Linked DNA regions of Macaca fascicularis. The protein of the gene in region 2 interacts with the protein of the main gene of each other region in a pairwise test. Links are inferred from orthologs where the notes say so. Each region holds a gene or a part of one and is shown on either strand. Other genes may lie near its edges.

What was found. The genes of interacting proteins can lie anywhere in the genome.
Region 1: the proteins of EGFR (region 2) and NTRK2 interact in a protein complementation assay, tested with the Homo sapiens proteins (3 studies listed by BioGRID and IntAct, with this or other methods). The link is inferred for Macaca fascicularis from reciprocal best matches to the Homo sapiens genes EGFR and NTRK2.
Region 3: the proteins of EGFR (region 2) and ITGB2 interact in a protein complementation assay, tested with the Homo sapiens proteins (3 studies listed by BioGRID and IntAct, with this or other methods). The link is inferred for Macaca fascicularis from reciprocal best matches to the Homo sapiens genes EGFR and ITGB2.
Region 4: the proteins of EGFR (region 2) and PRCC interact in a protein complementation assay, tested with the Homo sapiens proteins (2 studies listed by BioGRID and IntAct). The link is inferred for Macaca fascicularis from reciprocal best matches to the Homo sapiens genes EGFR and PRCC.

What each region holds. Positions count from the first base shown.
Region 1 is NC_088389.1:115,291,280-115,296,231, forward strand, and holds the start of NTRK2 (BDNF/NT-3 growth factors receptor), read left to right. Parts: upstream 1-1,726; 5' UTR 1,727-1,990; intron 1,991-2,505; exon of another isoform or gene 2,506-2,538; 5' UTR 2,539-2,627; intron 2,628-2,980; exon of another isoform or gene 2,981-3,435; intron 3,436-3,590; 5' UTR 3,591-3,966; coding exon 3,967-4,178; intron 4,179-4,952. UniProt on the Homo sapiens protein: Receptor tyrosine kinase involved in the development and the maturation of the central and the peripheral nervous systems through regulation of neuron survival, proliferation, migration, differentiation, and synapse formation and plasticity.
Region 2 is NC_088377.1:75,385,899-75,390,952, reverse strand, and holds the start of EGFR (epidermal growth factor receptor), read left to right. Parts: upstream 1-1,942; 5' UTR 1,943-2,203; coding exon 2,204-2,291; intron 2,292-2,518; exon of another isoform or gene 2,519-3,127; intron 3,128-5,054. UniProt on the Homo sapiens protein: Receptor tyrosine kinase binding ligands of the EGF family and activating several signaling cascades to convert extracellular cues into appropriate cellular responses.
Region 3 is NC_088377.1:2,130,671-2,135,607, forward strand, and holds the start of ITGB2 (integrin beta-2), read left to right. Parts: upstream 1-1,711; 5' UTR 1,712-1,736; coding exon 1,737-1,813; intron 1,814-2,109; coding exon 2,110-2,200; intron 2,201-3,974; exon of another isoform or gene 3,975-4,133; intron 4,134-4,738; coding exon 4,739-4,799; intron 4,800-4,937.
Region 4 is NC_088375.1:104,305,339-104,310,599, forward strand, and holds the start of PRCC (proline-rich protein PRCC), read right to left. Parts: upstream 3,227-5,261; 5' UTR 2,990-3,226; coding exon 2,522-2,989; intron 1-2,521. UniProt on the Homo sapiens protein: May regulate cell cycle progression through interaction with MAD2L2.

The DNA of each region.
Region 1 (4,952 bases), on a different chromosome or scaffold from region 2:
CATGGTTCAGTGCAGGTAGGAGCCTGCAACACTTTGTTTCTATGCCTGCATTGAAGGGATCTGGAAAAAAATCATCTCTATATTGTTCATCTGAAAAATGTTCATCATCTCTTACAAAGTCGTGATCTGAGAATCCTTGAAGTGATCTCTGGGACATATCTTATAGGTCTTAAAATCGAGATAGATCCACAATTCTATCAGTTAAGAAATAACTACTGATCGCCAATGTGTTCTAGACACTGTCCTTGGAGGTGTTGAGTTAACAGCATGAGTAAGTGGGAGGCCCTCTCTGGCCTGGTGCTGAAGCATATCTGGCTACTAAATGAGGCAGAAAGTAAGGCAAGGTTTTAAGCAGTGCTATGAGCACTCGGAACACAAGGAAGATTTGAAATTTTGAAGGTGAGAAGGAGCGTGTCTGGGGGAATAATCCAGGTTCTTGCAGAATTAGAGGTTAAGAAAGTAAGATCTCAACTTTATTTTATTTATTCATTAAAAATACACATATATTTTAACACCTACTATGTCCTTGAGATATATCAATGAACAAAATAGACAAAAATCCCTGCCTTCATGGAGTGTACATTCTACTGGGAGAAATTTAAAATATATATATGATAAGTAAATGATCTGTCCAAAAGACAAACTGCTATGGTTGAAATAGTAGAGCAGAAGTAGGGTGATTAGAAGTAGGACCGCAAATCCTAATTTTAAGTGGGAGACAGTCAGTGGAATATATTTAGAATTCAACTATAATAGTAGCATATATTTACTCTAATAGAAATTCTACAGATATTCCAACATAATTGGAATCTTGTGGTGTACAAACCACCGTAAAACTGCCTATTCTCCATACCGCATTGAGACATGCTGCAGCCACTAGGGCGCAAATGGGCCCTTTCTTAGGAAAATGGGCTGAGAGTATGGGAGTGTGAGAGAGATGTGGGTGATTATGCACACACACACTCCTTCCTTCCCCAAGTGTTCCTCAGGGGCTTCTCCACTTAAGGGGCACTGACAAGACAGGCGGAGTTTTACGTGCGTCTGAGACCAGGTCATTTTTGCCCTTGCTTCTCTTCCTTGGCACGTCCTCACCTAGCAGAAAATCGAGAGAGGCCCTGCTGAGGAGTAAACTTCAGCCTGGCCGTTCACCACTCAAAGTGTGTTACAGCCGAGCGACAGTGGTGAGACAGACCTGCTAGCCTTGCCTTCGGGACCTGCAGCAAGATTTTTGGGTGCTGTCCAAGAATTCCCGCGGTAACACTCAGCGCCCAGGATCTGTACAAAAAAGCCCCACTAGATGTTTTACGTTCCCTTCGTAATATTTAATGCTTGGCCTAGATCCGAGCATTCACTCTAAGGTTCGGTTTCTCGATCCTTCCCATCCCCAGCCTCTGCGGGTAGATCAGTGACTGTTACTATATTTTGAACGAGACTCCAACCCATTGCTCTCTCTGGAGCGGAGGATTGGCCGCCTTTTTCCCCGGGCCGGACCTCGGCGAGGCCAGGCAAGCCGCTCACTGGCCGGGCAGGGACGCGCAGGCGTCGGGCGCCGCTGGTTGCGCATCTGGCGCCAGAGCGCGCCCCCAGCGCTGTGCCCGCCGCGACCGTGGCGGTGGGCTGGTGCTCCGGAGCGTGCCGGGCGCTCTCTCCCCGCGCGGGGGCACCAGAGCCCTCGGAAGTGTCAGGCACTGCGGTGCATTTTCCCAGTTCGCTTTTAAATGACTGCGGAAAAACAGATTCCGAGCCGCAAAAGGGAAGACGGATTCTCAGACAAGGCTTGCGAATGCCCCGCAGCCGTCATTTAACTGCGCCCGCAGAACAATTACGGTTTGTCACCCGACCCTCCCGGATCGCCTAATTTGTCCCTAGTGAGACCCCGAGGCTCTGCCCGCGCCTGGCTTCTTCGTAGCTGGATGCATATCGTGCTCCGGGCAGCGCGGGCGCAGGGCACGCGTTCGCGCACACCCGCGCACACATGAACACGCGCAAGGTACGGCAGGGGAGCAAGGGCTTGGGATGCCCTGCATGGGGTGGGCATCGCGGGGAGTGAAGCTACGATATGGGAATGGCTACATCCCGACAGGTTAAAGGATGAGAGAAAATGACGCGGCGCCACACATCGGACAGGCCAGGGTGGCCACCGAGCATTTAGAATACGCATCAGGCGCGCTCCCTTCCCCTCACATGTCTCTATTTCCCGGGCGTGTGATGGCAGAAAACGGCAGGAAAAAGACCCACTTAGAGAGCTAGAATTGTGTTTGGAGACTCCCTTCCCTCTGCAAAAGCACCAACAGGAAGCCCCTCCAAAACCACCGATCCCCAAATAGGTGGCCCGGAATGGGGGCGGTGATCCTTGGTTACCAATGCAGAACACGTTTTGGTGTTTACAACATTTATTTATTTTTAGGATAGCTTGCCCTCCCTTTTAGGCAGGGTGGGAAAGGAGAACGCGGGGAGGGAGAAGGGAGGGAGGATTCCTATAATAAGAATCAGCGCATTTTTCAGAGCTGAACCAAGCACGGTTTCCATTTCAAAAAGCGAGCCAGCCTCTACCGCGATTGTAGAAGAGACTGTGGTGTGAATTAGGGACCGGGAGGCGTCAAACGGAGGAACGGTTCATCTCAGAGGTACCTGGATGTAAATTCACACACACACACACACACAGAGGCACGCGCGCGCGTGTCTACACGGCCAGGATGTGTGCGTGTGTGCGTGCGTGTGTGCGCGCGTGTGTGCACTCCCACATGCTGCTGCTGTCTGCTTCTGGCCAGTGGCACTGATGCCTCCCTCCTCCCTGCTCGCCCCCAGATTCCCCTCCCCTCCCTGGTGCTTTTGTCTGGAGGGTGTTATGGGTTTGTGTGTGTATGAGCGCGTGTGTGTTTTTGGATTTCAGACTAATTTTCTGGAGTTTCTGCCCCTGCTCTGCGTCAGCCCTCACGTCACTTCGCCAGCAGTAGCAGAGGCGGCGGCGGCGGCTCCCGGAATTGGGTTGGAGCAGGAGCCTCGCTGGTTGCTTCGCTCGCGCTCTACGCGCTCAGTCCCCGGCGGCAGCAGGATCCTGGACCCAGGCGCCGCCGGCGGGCGTGAGGCGCCGGAGCCCGGGTGAGCAGCGCAGACAGTGCCCTCGGTCGCCTCGGCCCTCCCTGTCTCCCCCTGGGGCGGCCTCGGCTACTCCCCAGGTGGGACGTGCCGCGCCACCTGCCCGCGCCACCGGCACCCAGCGGCTGTGGCGGATTCTGCAGCATCATTCGGGGCCCCCGTCGCGGAGCCAAAGCTGCCGGCAGTCTCCGCATTCCCCTTTAAAGGGTCCTTCGCCCGGCCTGTACCATGGAATCCTGTCTCGGGGACCCTTTCCCTACCTCCCCTCCCTTGGCCTCAGGCTCGAAGAGAGAGTGGGCACACTGGTGGCTCCAGCGGCGTCAGTGCCATCGCGGGGCAAGTTGATTCCTGGGCTGGAGCTGGGCACTCATCCATCCACAGTCTCCCGGCTGGGATCGGGGTGGGGATGATGCGAGCGCAGAGGGAGAGTGCTCCAATTAGTGGTGTTGGGGGTCCTACACTCAGTCTTACGCGTATCTGTTTGTCCTCAGCCTCGAGGTGCATACCGGACCCCCATTCGCGTCTAATAAGGAGCCTGCACCCCAGAGAGTCCCGGGAGCGCCGCCGGTCGGTGCCCGGCGCCCCGGGCCATGCAGCAACGGCCGCGGCGGAGCTCCGAGCGGCGGTAGCACCCCCCTGTAAAGCGGTTCACGATGCCGGGGCCACTGTGAACCCTGCCGCCTGCCGGAATACGCTCCGCTCCGGACCAGCTCAGCCTGTGATACGCTGGACTCCGCGCGCCCGCAGCAAGCAAGCACCGAGGAGTCAAGAGAGCCGCAAGCGCGGGGAAGGCCTCCCCGCACAGGTCGGGGAAACCGGCCGGTGCAGCGTGGGGACACTCACTCGGGCTGGCACTGGCTGCTAGGGATGTCGTCCTGGATAAGGTGGCATGGACCCGCCATGGCGCGGCTTTGGGGCTTCTGCTGGCTGGTTGTGGGTTTCTGGAGGGCCGCTCTCGCTTGTCCCACGTCCTGCAAATGCAGTGCCTCTCGGATCTGGTGCAGCGACCCTTCTCCTGGCATCGTGGCATTTCCAAGGTTGGAACCTAACAGTGTAGATCCTGAGAACATCACCGAAATGTGAGTTCCTGGAGCTTTTCCTCTTTTTTCGCCTTGCCCCTAGGGCCCGGGCTGGCCAGATGGGTAGGTCCTGAAAGTGAATGCTGTCTCAAGAGTGGGGAGAAGTCAGAGACAAGAGATGCAAGACAGGGCCATCTGTCAGTTACCTGTCTGTTTCACTGGCTTGGGACTGCCAGTGCAGGAGAAGTGTGACACTTTAGGATAAGTTTTAAATATAGATATACATATGCCGATTATATATGTATTCCTCGTGGGAAGGAACTCACTATGCTTTTTATATTTCAAAGCTCTGCTGGGTGTGCTTTAGGCTTTCCGCATGCACTAACTTAGTTTTGGGCATTTTTGTTTCATAAAGTGCTGTGTGTATGTTGTGTTAGAAGTTCCATTAATATTCACTAGAAAAGAGGTTAAAATAATTAACTTTCCCGAATCTGTTGAAGGAAGTGACAGTCTCTCCCTTAACATCTTTTTTGAGGTTTGAGTTAACCACTTTCCCTTTTCATTTTATATATCAGATTTTGCTTAGGAGATGGCATCCAGAGATGGCCTTGAAAATGATCTGTAAGAGGAGAAGTTCTGAGTGTTGAAATGCACTCGCTCAAAAGAAAAAAATGTGATCGTTGGAAGCCTAAAAGCCTGGTTTGATTTAATTTGGACTTGACTTCCCAGAGATATGATTTTGAGACCACTTGGATTATAACTCTTAATTGCCCATTGAATAATTTCCCAGGACTAGGCTGGATGATAAAGTAGTGGGTAGAACTCTGATGAATG
Region 2 (5,054 bases):
TAAAAAGTTCAAAGGAGAAACGCGAACTTTACATAGATGTCCCAGGAGGATGTTCAGCAAACCCATTCTTCTCTGTTCCCTGGAATCCATCCCAGTATTGAGCTGTGTGTGTGTCTAGTAATTCTTTACAAAAAGCTCTGTTTCTTGTGATGCCATCAGATCACATTGAAGAATATACAAGCCGTACTATGAAGACTGTTGTCTCATATAGTCCTAACGTAGTGAGAACTGATGTTCTAACATACTGGTTTTTTTTGTTTGTTTTTTGGTCACTCAAAGGAGAAATTCCTGTGCAGTCTTACAAATCAGTTGTAGCTTAAATTGATTTGTGTTGTGACTTGTGCACACAGGTCACATTCCCTTGACAGAAAATATAGTTTAGAAACAAATTTGCGGCAGTTGTTAAGTGAATGCACAAGAGTTTATCATATTTAGGTCTTTTATTGTAAGACTCACTCCTGTCTTCATTTTATGTTCCACTGCTGTGCTTCGCATTTGCCTTTCTCTAGTTTTGTTTTCTGTCTCTGTGTTTCTATAGGGACTGCTCTCAGCCCAGGTGTGCAGGAAGCACACACGTGCCTGCAGAGCCTTCACCATCTCTGCATCCAGGGACTGACTTCAACGCACAGTGGCTGTACTGATCCGCTAAAACAAAGGAACAAATTACTTCTTCTAATTCACAGGGAAGTTCCAGGTTGTACGGGTGGTGAGGAGCCTTGTGTCTGTCTGCGCTTGCCCTGGTGAAAAACCCACCGTTCAGGCTGCAGGGTGTGAAACCCAGGCACAAACACTTCGCTGGATGCGGAGGAAAGATGCAAGGTTGCTCCCCTTCAGAGACAGCAAAGGGCAGATCTGTAGCTCTACTTACTTCAGGATTATGATTTTTGACAGAGCCGGGAGATCAGGGTTGTTGAACCAGGCCTGAAGGTCCTAGTGAATCTCGTGAAGAGAGGAGGGGTCTGACTGTAACATGGACCTAGAGGACATTCTTACTGCAGGAGAAGCAACAGTGGGGATGGGGTGGACTTGCCAAAGGAATGTAGCTCAAGTTCCTGCAGCCTAAAGCAGCTCAGTTTCTTTCGGCCAAACTTTCGCGAACTTCCCTGGCATTTCTCCTGCGGGAGCTACCGGTGCAGTGGGACACTTAGCCTCTCTAAAAGCATCTCCACAGCTGTTTGTGTCAAGCCTTTATTCCAAGAGCCTCACTTTTGCGAAGTAACGTGCTTCACACATTGGCTTCAAAGTACCCACGGCCGGTTGCAGTAAACATTGAGGAGGCCTGTCTCTGCGCCCAAAGTTGGGTGCCCTCATTTCAGACGATTTCTAGGGTGCTTCACGGGATCTGAAGGACCCTCGGACTTTAGAGCACCACCTCGGACGCCTGGCACCCCTGCAGCGCGGGCACAGCGACCTCCTCAGCTGCCAGGCCAGCCTCTGATCCCCGCGAGGGTCCCTGGGTGCTGCAGGGGAGGTGAGGACCAGAATAAAGGAGCAGTTTCCCCGTCGGTGCCATTATTCGACGCTGGCTCTAGGGCTCGGCCAGTCTGTCTAAAGCTGGTAGAAGTTTGTTCTGTAAAACAAAAGAAGGGAAAGGGGGAAGGGGACCCTGGCACAGATTTGGCTCGACCTCGACATAGGCTGGGCCTGCAAGTCTGCGGGGACCCAGTCCAGAGGGGCAGTGCTGGGAACGCCCCTCACGGAAATTAACTCCTCAGGGCACCCGCTCCCCTCCCGCGCGCCACCCCCTTCCCGCGGGAGACCAGGTCCCGCGGGGGTCACCGCTGTCCACCGCCTCCGGCGGCCGCTGGCCTTGGGTCCCCGCGGCTGGTTCTCCTCCCTCCTCCTCTCATTCTCCTCCTCCTCTGCTCCTCCCGATCCCTCCTCCGCCGCCTGGTCCCTCCTCCTCCCGCCCTGCCTCCCCGCGCCCCGGCCCGCGCGAGCTAGACGTCCGGGCAGCCCCCGGCGCAGCGCGGCCGCAGCAGCCTCCGCCCCCGGCACGGTGTGCGCGCCCGCCGCGGCCAAAGCGGCCGGAGTCCCGAGCTAGCCCCGGCGGCCGCCGCCGCCCAGACTGGACGACAGGCCACCTCGTCGGCGTCCGCCCGAGTCCCCGCCTCGCCGCTAACGCCACAACCACCGCGCACGGCCGCCTGACTCCGTCCACTATTGATCCGGAGAGCCGGAGCTTGCTCTTCGGGAAGCAGCTATGCGACCCTCCGGGACGGCCGGGGCCGCGCTCCTGGCGCTGCTGGCTGCGCTCTGCCCCGCGAGTCGGGCTCTGGAGGAAAAGAAAGGTAAGGGCGTGTCTCGCCGGCTCCCGCGCTGCCCCCGGATCGCGCCCCGGACCCCGCAGCCAGCCCAGCCGCGCACCGGCGCACCGGCTCGGCGCCCGCGCCCCCGCCCGTCCTTTCCTGTTTCCTTGAGATCAGCTGCGCCGCCGGCCGGGACCGCGGGAGGAACGGGACGTTTCGTTCTTGGGCCAGGAGAGTCTGGGGCGGGCGGGGGAGGAGACGCGTGGGGCACTGGGCTGCGGGCCGGCGGGGAAACGGCCGCCTGGACCTCCGGCGCCCCGAACCGCTCCCAACTTTCCACCCTCACTTTCCCCGCCCCGCTGCGCGGAATCGGCGTCAGTGGGCGAAAGCCCCGTGCGGGTGGGTGCCTGGGGCCGGGGTCCCGCACGTGCGCCCCGCGCTGTCTTCCCAGGGCGCGGCGGGGTCGCGGCGCGCACCCGAGGGACTGGCGCTGCCCACCCGCCGAGGCTGCGCTGTTTAGGGAAGCTGAGGAAGGACCCCGAAAATAAAGCCTCCCTTCGGACCCCGCGGGACAGGCGGCTTCCTGAGCGAACCTCCCTGCCTCCGCGCTCCGCGCAGGTCTCAAACTGAAGCCGGCGCCGGCCAGCCTGACCCCGGCCCCTCTCCAGGTCCCCGCGATCCTGGTTCCCAGGTGTGGAGTCGCAGCCTCAACCTGGGAGCTGGGAGAAGTCCGCCACCACCTGCGGCGCCTGGGAAGGGGTGGTGCTGGCGGCGGTGAGCTTCCTCGTTGGCAAAAGGCAGGTGGGGTCCGACCCGCCCCTTGGGCGCAGACCCCGGCCGCTCGCCTCACTCGGCGCGCCCTCGTCTTGCCGGTCCAGGTATGCCCCCCACCTCCTGGGGACCCGAGCTCCCTCCCGGGCGCCCGCGCAGAAAGGCCCGGGCTCTCGTTCGGTGGCCGCCTCGCGGGGACGTCCGGGTCTGCCCCACCTGCAGCCCTTCGGTCGCGCCTGGGCTTCGCGGTGGAGGGGGACGCGGCTGTCCGGCCACTGCTGGGGGGATCGCGGCCTCTAGTGCGGAAGCCCAGGAAGCAGAGCTCATCCTGGCCAGCACCACAGTGTTTCAAAATGGGGCTCACAGCAAACTTTTCTCCTCAAAACCCGGAGAGTTTCTTTCTTGGATGTTTCTTTTTGCTGTCTGAAGAATTTGACATTGAGCCAACCAAAATATTAAACCTGTCTTACACACACACACACACACACACACACACACCGGATTGATGTCCCTGGTTCAAGTGTGCCAAGTGTCCAGACAGAACATGAGCGAGTCTGGCTTCGTGACTACTGACCATAAACCCACTTGACACGGGAAACATGCCTCGGAAGGTTTAATTGCACAATTCCAACCTTGAGCTGCGCGGGTTCCAAGAGCCAGGCCCGTACTTGCTGTTGATGTCACTGGCATGGGGAGTTGGGGTTTGGTGCCCAGCGCGGTCGTTGGGGGAGGGGCAAGACATAGAACAGTGGTTCCCAGACCTTGCTGCACGTTAGAATTACCTGGGATTTAAAAAAAAAAATCAAAACAAAAACCAGTGTCTGAATCCCGCCCCCAGACATTCTGATTTAATTGGCATGGGGCAAGACCTGGACATGGGATTTTTTTTTTAATGCTTTTCATGTGATCTGTTGGGGAGCCAGGTTTGGGGATCACCGGACGGAAGAAGGATTGTTAAAGTCTCCGGAGAGATTACTTGCCAATGCAAAGAGCTCTTTGAGGACATCTGGAATTTTAACAATGTTGCCAAATATAGGAAAGAGGGAAAAGGTGGGGTGTGGTTCCAATAATAAAAGATTCCTCTTTTCATTGAAGGAACTGGTGGAAAGGTTTCTTCTCTGCTGAGCTTGCAGGGCCCCTCCTGCCTGCTTGGGGGCTGACTGTGGGTCCTGTTAGTCAGGTGTCAGCCCTGTCTCTGCTGAAGAGACTCTTCTCTTTATTTTAAATTAAACCCTCAGAGCACCTCCAAAGCATCACTTTTCTCCCTCCAGTGGGGTTCTCATTCTTTGATGTTACTTGCTTGAACACCACTGTTAGTGATTGGAGATTTGTTCCTGAGAAAAATATAAATACCACTTAATTTGCCTGTTTATCCTGTATTCACTCAAAACAGAAACTCCTGAAGACAGAGAGAGTAGGTGAACAGGCGCTATTCTGTTACAGTAACATAAAAGACTGAATTTTCAGGGGCAAATTATTAAAGTAGGAGATGAGCTCTTTTAACAGAAATTTGTTTGAGACCTGTGTCTATCAAATTCAGTCGATTTTATTCAAGATGCACTTCGTTTAGTAAGGGTTTTGTTTGGTTCTGGGACATGCTAACTTCTGGACTTGCTGCTCTTAGACGTAATGACTGCCAGACACCGTTTCATGCGTCCTAATCCCCACATTAAGCATAAGAGGTGTACACTCTCCTCCTATGGGGGAAACTGAGGTACAAAGAACTAAAGTGACTTTCCCACCGCTGGTAGGAGGCAGATGTAAAACTCACACCAGGGGCTTCCGACTCCAGATCCCTCTCTCAACTTCCAAACTCCACTGCCTTGTCCGAGTTCTGGTTTCAGGAGATCCAAATCAGGTGTGTGCAAACGTCTAATGACAGAGCTGGCAAGGGGAAAGGGCCCAGGGAGCCGGCTCATGAAGATAGGTCTGTCTGAAGCTTCAACGCGGGCTGTCCAGCAGTCTGCGTTCCTTCAGAGTTCCTCAGCCCTCTGTTCAGTCACCTTCCATGGAGACAGCTCCATCCCTAGGTCA
Region 3 (4,937 bases), about 73 Mb from region 2:
TCCTTGAACCTGGGAGGCGGAGGTTGCAATGAGCTGAGATCGCACCACTGCACTCCAGCCTGGGCAACAGAGCGAGATTCCGTCTCAAAAAAAAAAAAAAAAACAACAGTGCTATCAAACTTCACAGATAGTAAAACGAACGGTAGGAACGCATCTCCCTGACCCTTGGGGAAATACACGTTTGCAGGGTTGGAGGGTCAGAGGAGACATGGGCTGGGGGTTCCTGCATCCTCTCCGCTCCGACTTGTTCCGATCTGATTTGACCTGTCTTTGTCCCTGGATTTCCTGGAGCCTCTGTGATCCAAGAACAGCGTTCCAGCCCGCACCTGAATGGCTCTTCTCTCCAGTTCTTTATCATGTTCCTACGAAGCAGAGATGAGTCCATCTTGATGCTCTGGGTTTTGGCTTAGAAGGTGGATGCCTAGTTTGTAATCATCCCTTGAGCCTTCAGTTCCCTCCCACTTCCTCTTCCTTCCAACCTCGTCCCCCACCGGCATCGTCCATCGCTTCCTGTGTACCTCCGAGTCACTTTGATGTGAGCGTGTCTCCTCTAAGAAGCATAAAGTGGGTTTTATTCCCTGACCCCAGCACAGGCAGGAGCAAGCTCTGATGCAAAGTTCTAATGGGTCTGTGGGGCCTCTGGCTTCTCAGGCAGTCTCATCTTAGGGTTTTACGGGGTTGCAAAAAGGAAGCCTGACCCTGCTGATTCCTCTCCCAGCATAGGCTCTGCCCTCTCTCTGCTGTCTCACTTTAAAGTTTCTTTTCTTTTCTTTTTTTTTTTTTTTTTTTTTTTTTGAGACAGAGTCTCGCTTAGTCGCCCAGGCTGGAGTGCAGTGGCGCGATCTCGGCTCACTGCAAGCTCCGCCTCCCGGGTTCACGCCATTCTCCTGCCTCAGCCTCCCGAGTAGCTGGGACTACAGGCGCCCGCCACCGCGCCCGGCTAATTTTTTTGCATTTTTAGTAGAGACGGGGTTTCACAGTGTTAGCCAGGATGGTCTCGATCTCCTGACCTTGTGATCCGCCCGCCTCAGCCTCCCAAAGTGCTGGGATTACAGGCGTGAGCCACCGCGTCCGGCCTTCTTTTCTTTTTTGAGACAGAGCCTCCTTCTGTCACCCAAGCTGGAGTTCAGTAGTGCCATTAAGCTCACTGCAGCCTCCCCATCCTGGGCTCCAGTGATCCTCCCGCCTCAGCCTCCCGAGTAGCTAGGACTAGAGATGCATACCACCATGTATGGCTAGCTTATTTTCTATTTTTATTTTTCGTAGAGATAGGGGTCTCACTATGTTGCCCAGGCTGCTCTCAAACTCCTGGCCTCAAGTGATCCTCCTGCCTTGGCCTCCCAAAACACTGGGATTGCAGGCATCAGCCACCACGCCGGCCTGTTCGTTTCCCGTGTTTGCTCCTGTTCTCCTGTCTTTGACTTCTGTGAAAGGGTGCGTGTGATTTGGCCTGGATCTGCTGCAGGTCTCTTCCGACGCCGCTTTTGTGTCTCAGAGCCGGAATGTTCAGAGCTTTGCTCGCCGTGAAGTAGGGTTCATCTGGTGCCCGGGAGGGAAGGGCGCCCGGCCCCCGAGGGGTTCTCCGGGGAAAGATGACCCCATCCCCCGGGTCCCGCCCCTCAGCCCCCCGCTTCCCCTGTGCAGGGGACTTGGTGACAGATACCACTTCCTGCAGCTGGGCTGGGGTTGCACCAGCACTTCCCTCTCGGGCAGGGTTGAGGTCAAGGGCGACTCTGATGCAAGGTTCTGAGAGGCCCGTGGGGCTGTGGATTCCTGAGCAGCCTCAGCTTTGGGTTTTGCACCTTAGGTCTTGGTAAGGGGACCCGCCTGCCCTTAGACATGGGAAGTCCAGGAGCTGGAGGACGAGGAGGGCGCCCGCCCCCAGTGTGGGGCAGCAGGGAGGGCAGCAGGGTCATCAGGCTCCAGGCTGGAGCTCTGGGGCCTGCTCGGGGGGGGGTGCGGGACGGGGGGTTCTGTGCTCTTCCTCCCTGCTTGCCCTGCAGCTCTGTCGGCTTAGCTTCAGGGCACCAGAGGTGACAGTGGCCAGGTACCTGCCTGTTTGCCTGAATGCTGTCCTACATCTGTGCCTTACCCATTCCCGTCCCCCAGGGAGCTGGCACAGGCCCTTCGACCACCTCCAGGCACACGGAGGAAACGGACGCAGAGAGGCCAGATGCGGTCTTGGTTTCTTAGGCCTCAGGTGAGGCCCTGGACCTCCGTGGGCCATCCTGGCTACTGGGTGGAGGGGCTGCCCTGCCCTGTTCTCCCACAGAAGGGAGGCCGGCTGCCAGGCTCAGTGCACTGCCTTACCTCCCGGAGCCGACCTTCGTCCCCAGCTGTTTGTCTGGGCTCAGCCACTGGCATCGGGGGGTGGGGCAGGGCCTGGCTTCTCTTATGCCCCCAGCTCCGAGCCCCCCAGGGCTGTTCATGGAGGAGCAACAGTGGGGAGAGGTTGGCTCCCCGCCCGCCCCCTTGCTGTGGTCATGGTCAGGGCACTGTGGTCTCTGAGCCAATCCTGCTGGAATCAATGTGCACCCCATCTCCCTAGGGGCAGGGGTTTTGCTCAGGGTAACTGGGCTCCAGGTCCATATCTTGCTGCTGCTGGGGGCCTCAATTTCCCCATCTGAGGGTACAAAGTGTTTGCATGCCGCTGGTCATGACTGTGTTAGGGGCGGAGATATCAAGTCTGCGGCCCCAGGGAAAGCGTGGAGCTGGGGTGTGGGTCCTTACCAGCCTGGCTGAGGCTGCCGGGGGAAGGCTGCACCCCCTCCCCACTTGGCACAGCTGCGAACTGGGGGTGTCCTGAGGCCAGCTGGACCCTGCACCCTGGGGTGGCTCCAGCATGCACAGGGTCTCCGGTCAGCTGAGGGGTTGGTGGGCACTCATGGCACCGAGGTCTGTCCAGGCGCGGGACTTTGGGGGGGCGCAGATGGAGAGCTGGAACTGGCCTTGGCCTGAACCACAACCCCCAAGGATCAGAGACACAGGGGCTTTCAGACACAGGGTAGGCCCGGTGTGAACCCAAACCACCTCCTCCAGGAAGTTAGAGCAGGTGCAGGTTCTGTTTTTGACCCCAGAATGGGAAGGATCAAGGGTTCCCTTTTGACATTTTGGAATTCTGACTGTAATTTTGCTGGGAACCAGGAAACGAGGTCACCTCCAAAACGACAGGACCTTGGGGCTGGTTGGGGCCTCTAAGCTGTGGGATGCTCAGATGGGCCCGGGTGGGTGTTCCGTCGGCCTCAGAGCCCCCGGCACAGGTGCAGGGGTTTTGGGGGATGGAGGGGAACCAGGGCCTGTGGCTGAGGGCACCCAAGCCTCCCCGGCCACAGCACAGCACCCAGCACTGTCTTCAAAGTGAGCAGGCCCTAGTTTGGGGTTCTGCTGGCTTGGGTCTGCCCACTGAACCTTGGGTGACCCTGCCAGCACCACCCGAGGGCAGTGGGTGGGACAGAAACGCCCCAGACGCCTGGGAGGCCGCGAGAGGAACCGGCGTTTGCTGGGGGAGGTGTGTTCATCTTTGCTTCTGATAACAGCCCCAGGGTAACAGAAGCGTCTTCCTGCCCACTATGGCAGGAAGGCTCCTGGGTACCCCTTCTCAGAACCTCTCCACCTCTTGGTGCCAGATAAAAGGGTCCCAGCGAGGACCCAACGTTCTCAGGTCCTGGAGGTCAGACCCAGAGGCCCACCCCACCTAGGAAGCCCTAAGACCTCCCAAGGAGCCGACCTAGGGCTGCTTTGGGCACCTCCAGGATGGAGGGAAGGGAGCCCAGGCTGAGGCCTGGTTCTGTCATTTTGCCTCTGGGGCCGAGGGCCTGTGAGTGACCACAGAGCTGCCCCAGCTGTGGATGACTGGGTTAAGGACGGGGTGGGTGTGTATCTGGAAACAAAAGGGCAAGAGCCCGGCAGCTGGTGGCTTGGGCAAGTCAGGTGACTTTTTTTCCCACCTGGCAGGGACCGCAAGGCTCCTGGGCAGGCCTTGCACACAGCCTGGCACTCGCGGACATCAAGCCAGCTTTCTCTTCCTGGCCCTGTTTCTGCCACAGAGAGACAGGGCAAGCCCGGCTCTGCTCCAAGCACAGGCTCTGCTCACGGAGGACTTGGGGTGCACAGGGGCAGAGTGCACACACCGGGTGTGTGGGGTTGTGGTGTGCGTGTGCGTGCACATTTGCACGTGTGTATGGTATGTGTGTGTGGTGTGTGTGCCTGTGTGGTGTGTGCGTGTGTGTACGTGTGCATGTATATTTGTGTGTGGTGTGTAGTGTCTTGTGGGGAGTACGGTGTGGGTAAGGGGTGTATACATCTCTCTGTGTACATATGTGTGGCGTGACACATACATGTGTATGTGTGGTGTGTGCGTGCATGTGGTGTGTACATGCGGTTAGGCATGCATCTGTATGCGTGTACACGTGCATGTGTGGTGTGTGGTGTGTGGTGTGTGTATTGTCTGCATGTGTGTGTGCCTGTGTTGTGTGTCTCTGCAGGGACCTGCTGCAGCTGTCCTGGGTGCCTGGCTGCTGAGCAGGTGTGCTGCCCGCACTGCTGGGCCCGACCTCCCTCCCTCCCTGGCTATTGGAAGCTGGGCCCAGCGCAGCTGTGCTGGCCTGACTCTAACCCACCCCTGCAGGGGGGACAGGAACCCAGCTCCTTGTCCCAGGCCAGCTGGAGGCGGGCTTTGTGGGTGGTCAGCCCCAGGGGCTGGGCCTGAGACCGTCACCAAAACCCCTTCCCTCCACAGGACATGCTGGGCCTGCGCCCCGCTCTGCTCGCCCTGGTGGGGCTGCTCTCCCTCGGGTGTGGTGAGTTCTGTGTTCCACGGAGGGGACTCCACACGTGACATTCCGGTCAGGGAGAGCAGGGCCTGCCCTCATGTTCCCACAGATAGAAGTTCCCGGGAGGCTGGGGAAGGATCATGCCCCTGGGGGCAGGTCGGGGAC
Region 4 (5,261 bases), on a different chromosome or scaffold from region 2:
AAACCTAATTCATTCTTTCAACTGTGTACTAAGAGCCTACTAAGTGTAAGACATAGAGCTCAGAACTGGAGGGGCTTAGAACTGGAGGGGCACAGCTCTTTTAAAGACAATGGTTGGCTGGCGCGGTGGCTCACGCCTGTAATCCCAGCACTTTGGGAGGCCAAGGTGGTCAGATCACCTGAGGTCAGGAGTTCAAGACCTGCCTGACCAACAAGGAGAAACCCCAGTCTCTACCAAAAATACAAAATTAGCTGGGCGTGGTGGCGCACGCCTGTAATCCCAGGTACTCTACTCGGGAGGCTGAGGCAGGAGAATCGCTTGAACCCTGGAGGTGGAGGTTGCGGTGAGCCGAGATTGTGCCATTGCACTCCAGCCTGGGCAATGAGCGAAACTACATCTCAAAAGATAAATAAAGACAAAGGTTACCCTCACCTGACCATCTTGAACATTCTTAGGCTACCTTTCTGCAGGAATTACGTGTTCCAAGAACAAAAAGACCAACTTGAACAGAACAAAAATGGGAAACTCAACCAGCACGGGCTAGGACTTTAATTAGCCATGTCACTGTTCACTTCAGAAATTTAGTGAATGCTTACAAAGGAGGGAGTGTTAGGAGTCTTCAGAGTTTTCTGCCACCTCAGCCAACCTAAATGGCAGATTCTACATCCTCTCCCAACTTTCTATAATGCTGCCTTCACAGCGCTAGAAATGAGCCTTTCCATGTCCGTGTAGACTGTTTTTATTTGTCTCATTCAGGGATCTTTCCATGTTCCAGGTTAAATCAAAGCCAAGGTAAGTTTCCATGGAGCAATAAAAGGCTTTTTTTTGGATCCTAGACTTAGGATGACAGACTCTCAGGTGTGCAAGAAGCGGGAAATAAAATGGAAGAAAGTGACCAGGCGCGGTGGCTCACACCTGTAATCCCAGCACTTTAGGAGGCCAAGGCGGGTGGATCACGAGGTTGGGAGATCGAGACCATCCTGGCTAACACAGTGAAACCCCGTCTCTAATAAAAATAGAAAAAAATTAGCCGGGTGTGGCCGCAGGCGCTTGTAGTCCCAGCTACTGGGGAGGCTGAGGCAGGAGAATGGAGTGAACCCGGGAGGCGGAGCTTGCAGTGAGCCGAGATGGCGCCACTGCACTCCAGCCTGGGCGACAGAAGGAGACTCTGTCTCAAAAAAAAAAAAAAGGAAGAAAGTTTCCAACAAGATAGGGAGGGAAACTCTGCAACCTCCTTCCATGAAGAATCCATGTTGGAGTTCTTTCACTCATAAAACATCCATGGGAGTATTCAGTATGTGCCAGGCACTGTTGTAAGTACTAGGATTATAGCAGTGAACTTTTTTTGTTAATCCCTGTCTTCATGGAGTTTATATACTAGTGGGAGGATAGATAATGTTAAGTGCAATGGAGAAAAATAAAACAAAGAGCAATGGGGAGAAGGAGGTTATAGGAGGCTGCAATTTAAATAACAGGCTAGGGAAGTCCTCACAGAAAACAGGCCTTTTAGGCCAAGTGAGGTGAGGGAGAGAACATTAGGATATCTGAGGGAAGAAATTTAAGGAACAGCAGGTTCAAAGAATGAAGATGGCTCCTAGGCAGAGCTGGGAGTCTGAAGAAAAGCAAAGGCAATAAATTTCTCTCTGGTAAGTAATTCTAAGCAGTTCCTGCTCCCAGGCTTAATCTCTCCTTTATCTCCAAAGCCCTCACTCCAGAAGAAGCCTTGTATTTTTCCATTGTCACATACAGAAACAGGTAAGACTCACTGCCTCTTCTAGAAACAGTACCCAAGCATCCTAATTCACCTAGCTTTGACCATGGCTAAATGGTGAAAATGAGGCACAGATCTGAGGTTCAGAGAGACTGAACCTTAATCTTCACTCTGCCCTTTGCCAGGTAAAATCGTGCATGCTGGACACCTGTTTCTCATCTGTAAAACAATAGTATGTTACCTCCCAGAGCTCTGTAATAATTGAAAGAAAGGACCAATGAACGGCAAACGATCTGCACTCAACAAACATTCGATTTCTCCTCTAACTCCCCTCAAAAATAGAATCCAAGATTACTATCATTCTCCTCCAGGCCTGATGTTTTTGAGTTCAGAGGCAAGGAAAAGATTTGTCCCAGATGTTCGGCAAAGGTTCAGGAGCCCTGTCTCCTGTCATTCCTCAGGTGCCAGATTTCATCCTGTTCTCAGTAGGAGGAAAGGGGAAAAAGCTGGACTGAGGTGAAGATGCAGAGGGGGAGCGGATCCAAGTGTCCCTAGGCCTGTCAGTACCAGGTGATGATGACATGTGACCTTCTGCAGGCAAGCCCAGCTTCAGGAAACCCACATGGGCAAACACCCAAACTCCCCGAAGTTGACCAACTTCAGCTCAATTAATCACATTATAAGAGGATTCCAGTGGCCTTGAATCCACGGATGTGTTTGTGGGAAGGAGTTCCGAAATCGCCACATGTCCCTCCTACCGCCGACTCAAACCCGATGGACAGTTTGGGGGTGCCTTCCCCGGATACTCACATCTCCCTTATGCAACTCCGGCGCCGCGATCTTCACGGGCTCTTTCCTCTTCTTTGGCTTGGGAAGCCCCAGCGGGGGGCCGGCACCGCCAATTGGAGGGGGCAGACTGAGGCCAGGGCCTCGGGGCGAGGGCAACCCCAATCCCAGTCCCTCCCCAACTCCCGCCGCTTCAGCCGGGCTCACGCCTGGAGGTGGGGGGAAGCCTCCCAGGCCGAAGGGCAAGGGGGGAGGAGGCTGAAGCCTGGGGTCTGCGGTGGGTGGGGGAAGCAACAGCGGCGGGGGAAACGCTGGGGCCAGCATCTGAGGGGGCGGAGGCAGCAAGGCCGGGCCCTTGGGCGCAGGGAGAGAAGCGAACAAGCCCCCTAAAGCGGGCCCAGATGTAGGGGCCACCGCCTCCTCTTCCTCCGGCTCGGGCTCAGCCTCATCCGGCTCGCTCTCATCGCTGCTGGCGTAAGCAACCAGCGACATGGCGCCTCCCGCGTTTGGGGCGCCCTTGCCGGCAGATGAGGCCTACTTGAGACCGGGGATGCCCGGAGGCCTAGTAGGCCCCGCCACCTGGCGGGGCGGGGAATCGAAAAGTCCGCCTGCTCCGTACTCTAGGGCAAGCCGCGGCAGAAGCTCATGGCTACGGCTGATTTCCACCGAATAAGGCGTCCCTCTTCACTTAAGCTCCTAGTCCCGGGCAACTACACACAGCTAATGGCCGCCGAGTCACTCCGCCTCCTCCTTGCCTCACCAATAGAGGAACTACAACTCCCAGAGAACACTTTGGACACAGCCCGATTCTTTGTCGCAGGGATCTCAGCGCAAGACACGGCGGGAGTTGAAGTCCGAGGAAGGATTTAGGCGAGAGCAGAGAGAGACAGAAGAGAAACCCGCCTCTGACGCAGGGACACTTGGGGTGAGTAGTTTTTTTCGTCCCCTAACAATTCCGAGGTGACTACAAGCCCCACCGGTCACCACGGCAGTCACCGAGCCGGATAAGAGAGCATTTCGGTACTTGAAGTTCCCTAGGGTAGCCCCTTGGCCACTAAGATTTCTGGGAGATGTGGTGCTCTTAGAGACTGCAAGTGATGTCGGGAACGAAAGGGAGTCTGGGAAGCTGGCGGATTAGGGAAAATTGCTTAAAGGGAAAGTGATCTGTAAATGAACTGGTGACGCTTCCCCGTCGGCTGGGGCTGGGAATTAGAATAAAACATCCCAAAAAGAGCAAGGGCCCAAGGGACCCGTACGAAATTGGGCTGCAAGCCAGAAAGAAGCGAGGCTGCAGGCCTAATAATAAGTATCTAAGATTTGAAATAAATGTGATGTAAGAAGGAGGAGGTGATCTCCCTCACCAGGATTGGGGTGCACATCCAGGAGCACACCTTACCCTGGAGCCTGGGGCCTGGCCTCCCTCTGCAGCAACCAGTGAGACAAAGATGGGCAAGGCCCTGGCAGCCCCGGCCAGGTACTTGAAGTTAATCCCTTCTCAGCTCAGTGGGGTAAAGGGCTACCGTTCTGAGGAATCACTTGAGTCCGTCCTACCTGGGTGTGCCTCCCATCTATCCATTTGCAGGGGTCCTTTGCATTCCTTTACGTCTGTGAGTTTTGTCTCTTATGGCTTTGGGTGTGACCTTGTTACATCTGTCTCTTCCTTTCCATCCATGTTTATAGGTGTCCTTTTCCAGCCCATTTATGTCTGCTTGTAATGATCTGCTGTGCGCCTGTCCTTCCCTGTCCGCTTGTCATTTTGTACCCTTTTCTTGTTTACTCATCTCTGCCCCTTCCTGTCTGCCTGTGACTGAGTGCCCTCTACTTGTCTGCCCTGTATGTGTGTGTCCTTTAAATGCTAATCCATCTCTGTGTGGGCACCATCTCCCTGTTCCCAGATTGCAGAAAATTATATTAAGCAAAGTCAGAGAAAAGGCTGTTGAAGTTTTGGGAGGAGGCTGAAGAGAACATTGGAAAGATTGATGAGGAAGGACAATGATGACCACAATGCAGAGAGATAGTGAAAGGCCCAAGCTTGAATCCTCTTATCAGAGGAGCCAGATATGGGGCCCCTCCTCCCCAGTCTCTCCAGCCTTCAGAGACAAACTCCATGCTGCCTTCTCCATGAAGGCCCCTTAGAGCTATCTCCTCCCTGCTCTGGATGCCAGAGCATTTTTGTGTGTGTGTGCACCTGTGCTCAAACTTTAATGTGCATAAGCATCACTAGGAAAGCTTCTGAAAAATAAAAATTCCTGAAATCTAGCCTAAGAGATTCCTATTCAGTAGATGTGGGTGGGGCCTGGAAGCCTGGATCTGTAAGAAACTCCTCAGTTGGTTGCAAACCAGGCACTGAGGACCACATTGAGAAACTAGACCATCAAGTCCTACCTCACAGCTAGTATGCCTTGCACAATGCTGATTTCTAAAACCTGCTTTTAAATCTAGGTTCCCTAACGTACTCTGGTGACTTTGTGCCGTCACTTCTCTTCTCTGAGTCTCACTTCCCTCCTTTGAAAACTGGATAAAGAGGCCGGGCGCGGTGGCTCAAGCCTGTAATCCCAGCACTTTGGGAGGCCGAGACGGGCGGATCACGAGGTCAGGAGATCGAGACCATCCTGGCTAACACAATGAAACCCCGTCTCTACTAAAAATACAAAAAAATTAGCCGGGCGAGGTGGCGGGCGCCTGTAGTCCCAGCTACTCGGGAGGCTGAGGCAGGAGAATGGCGTAAACCCGGGAGGCGGAGCTTGCAGTGAGCCGAGATAGC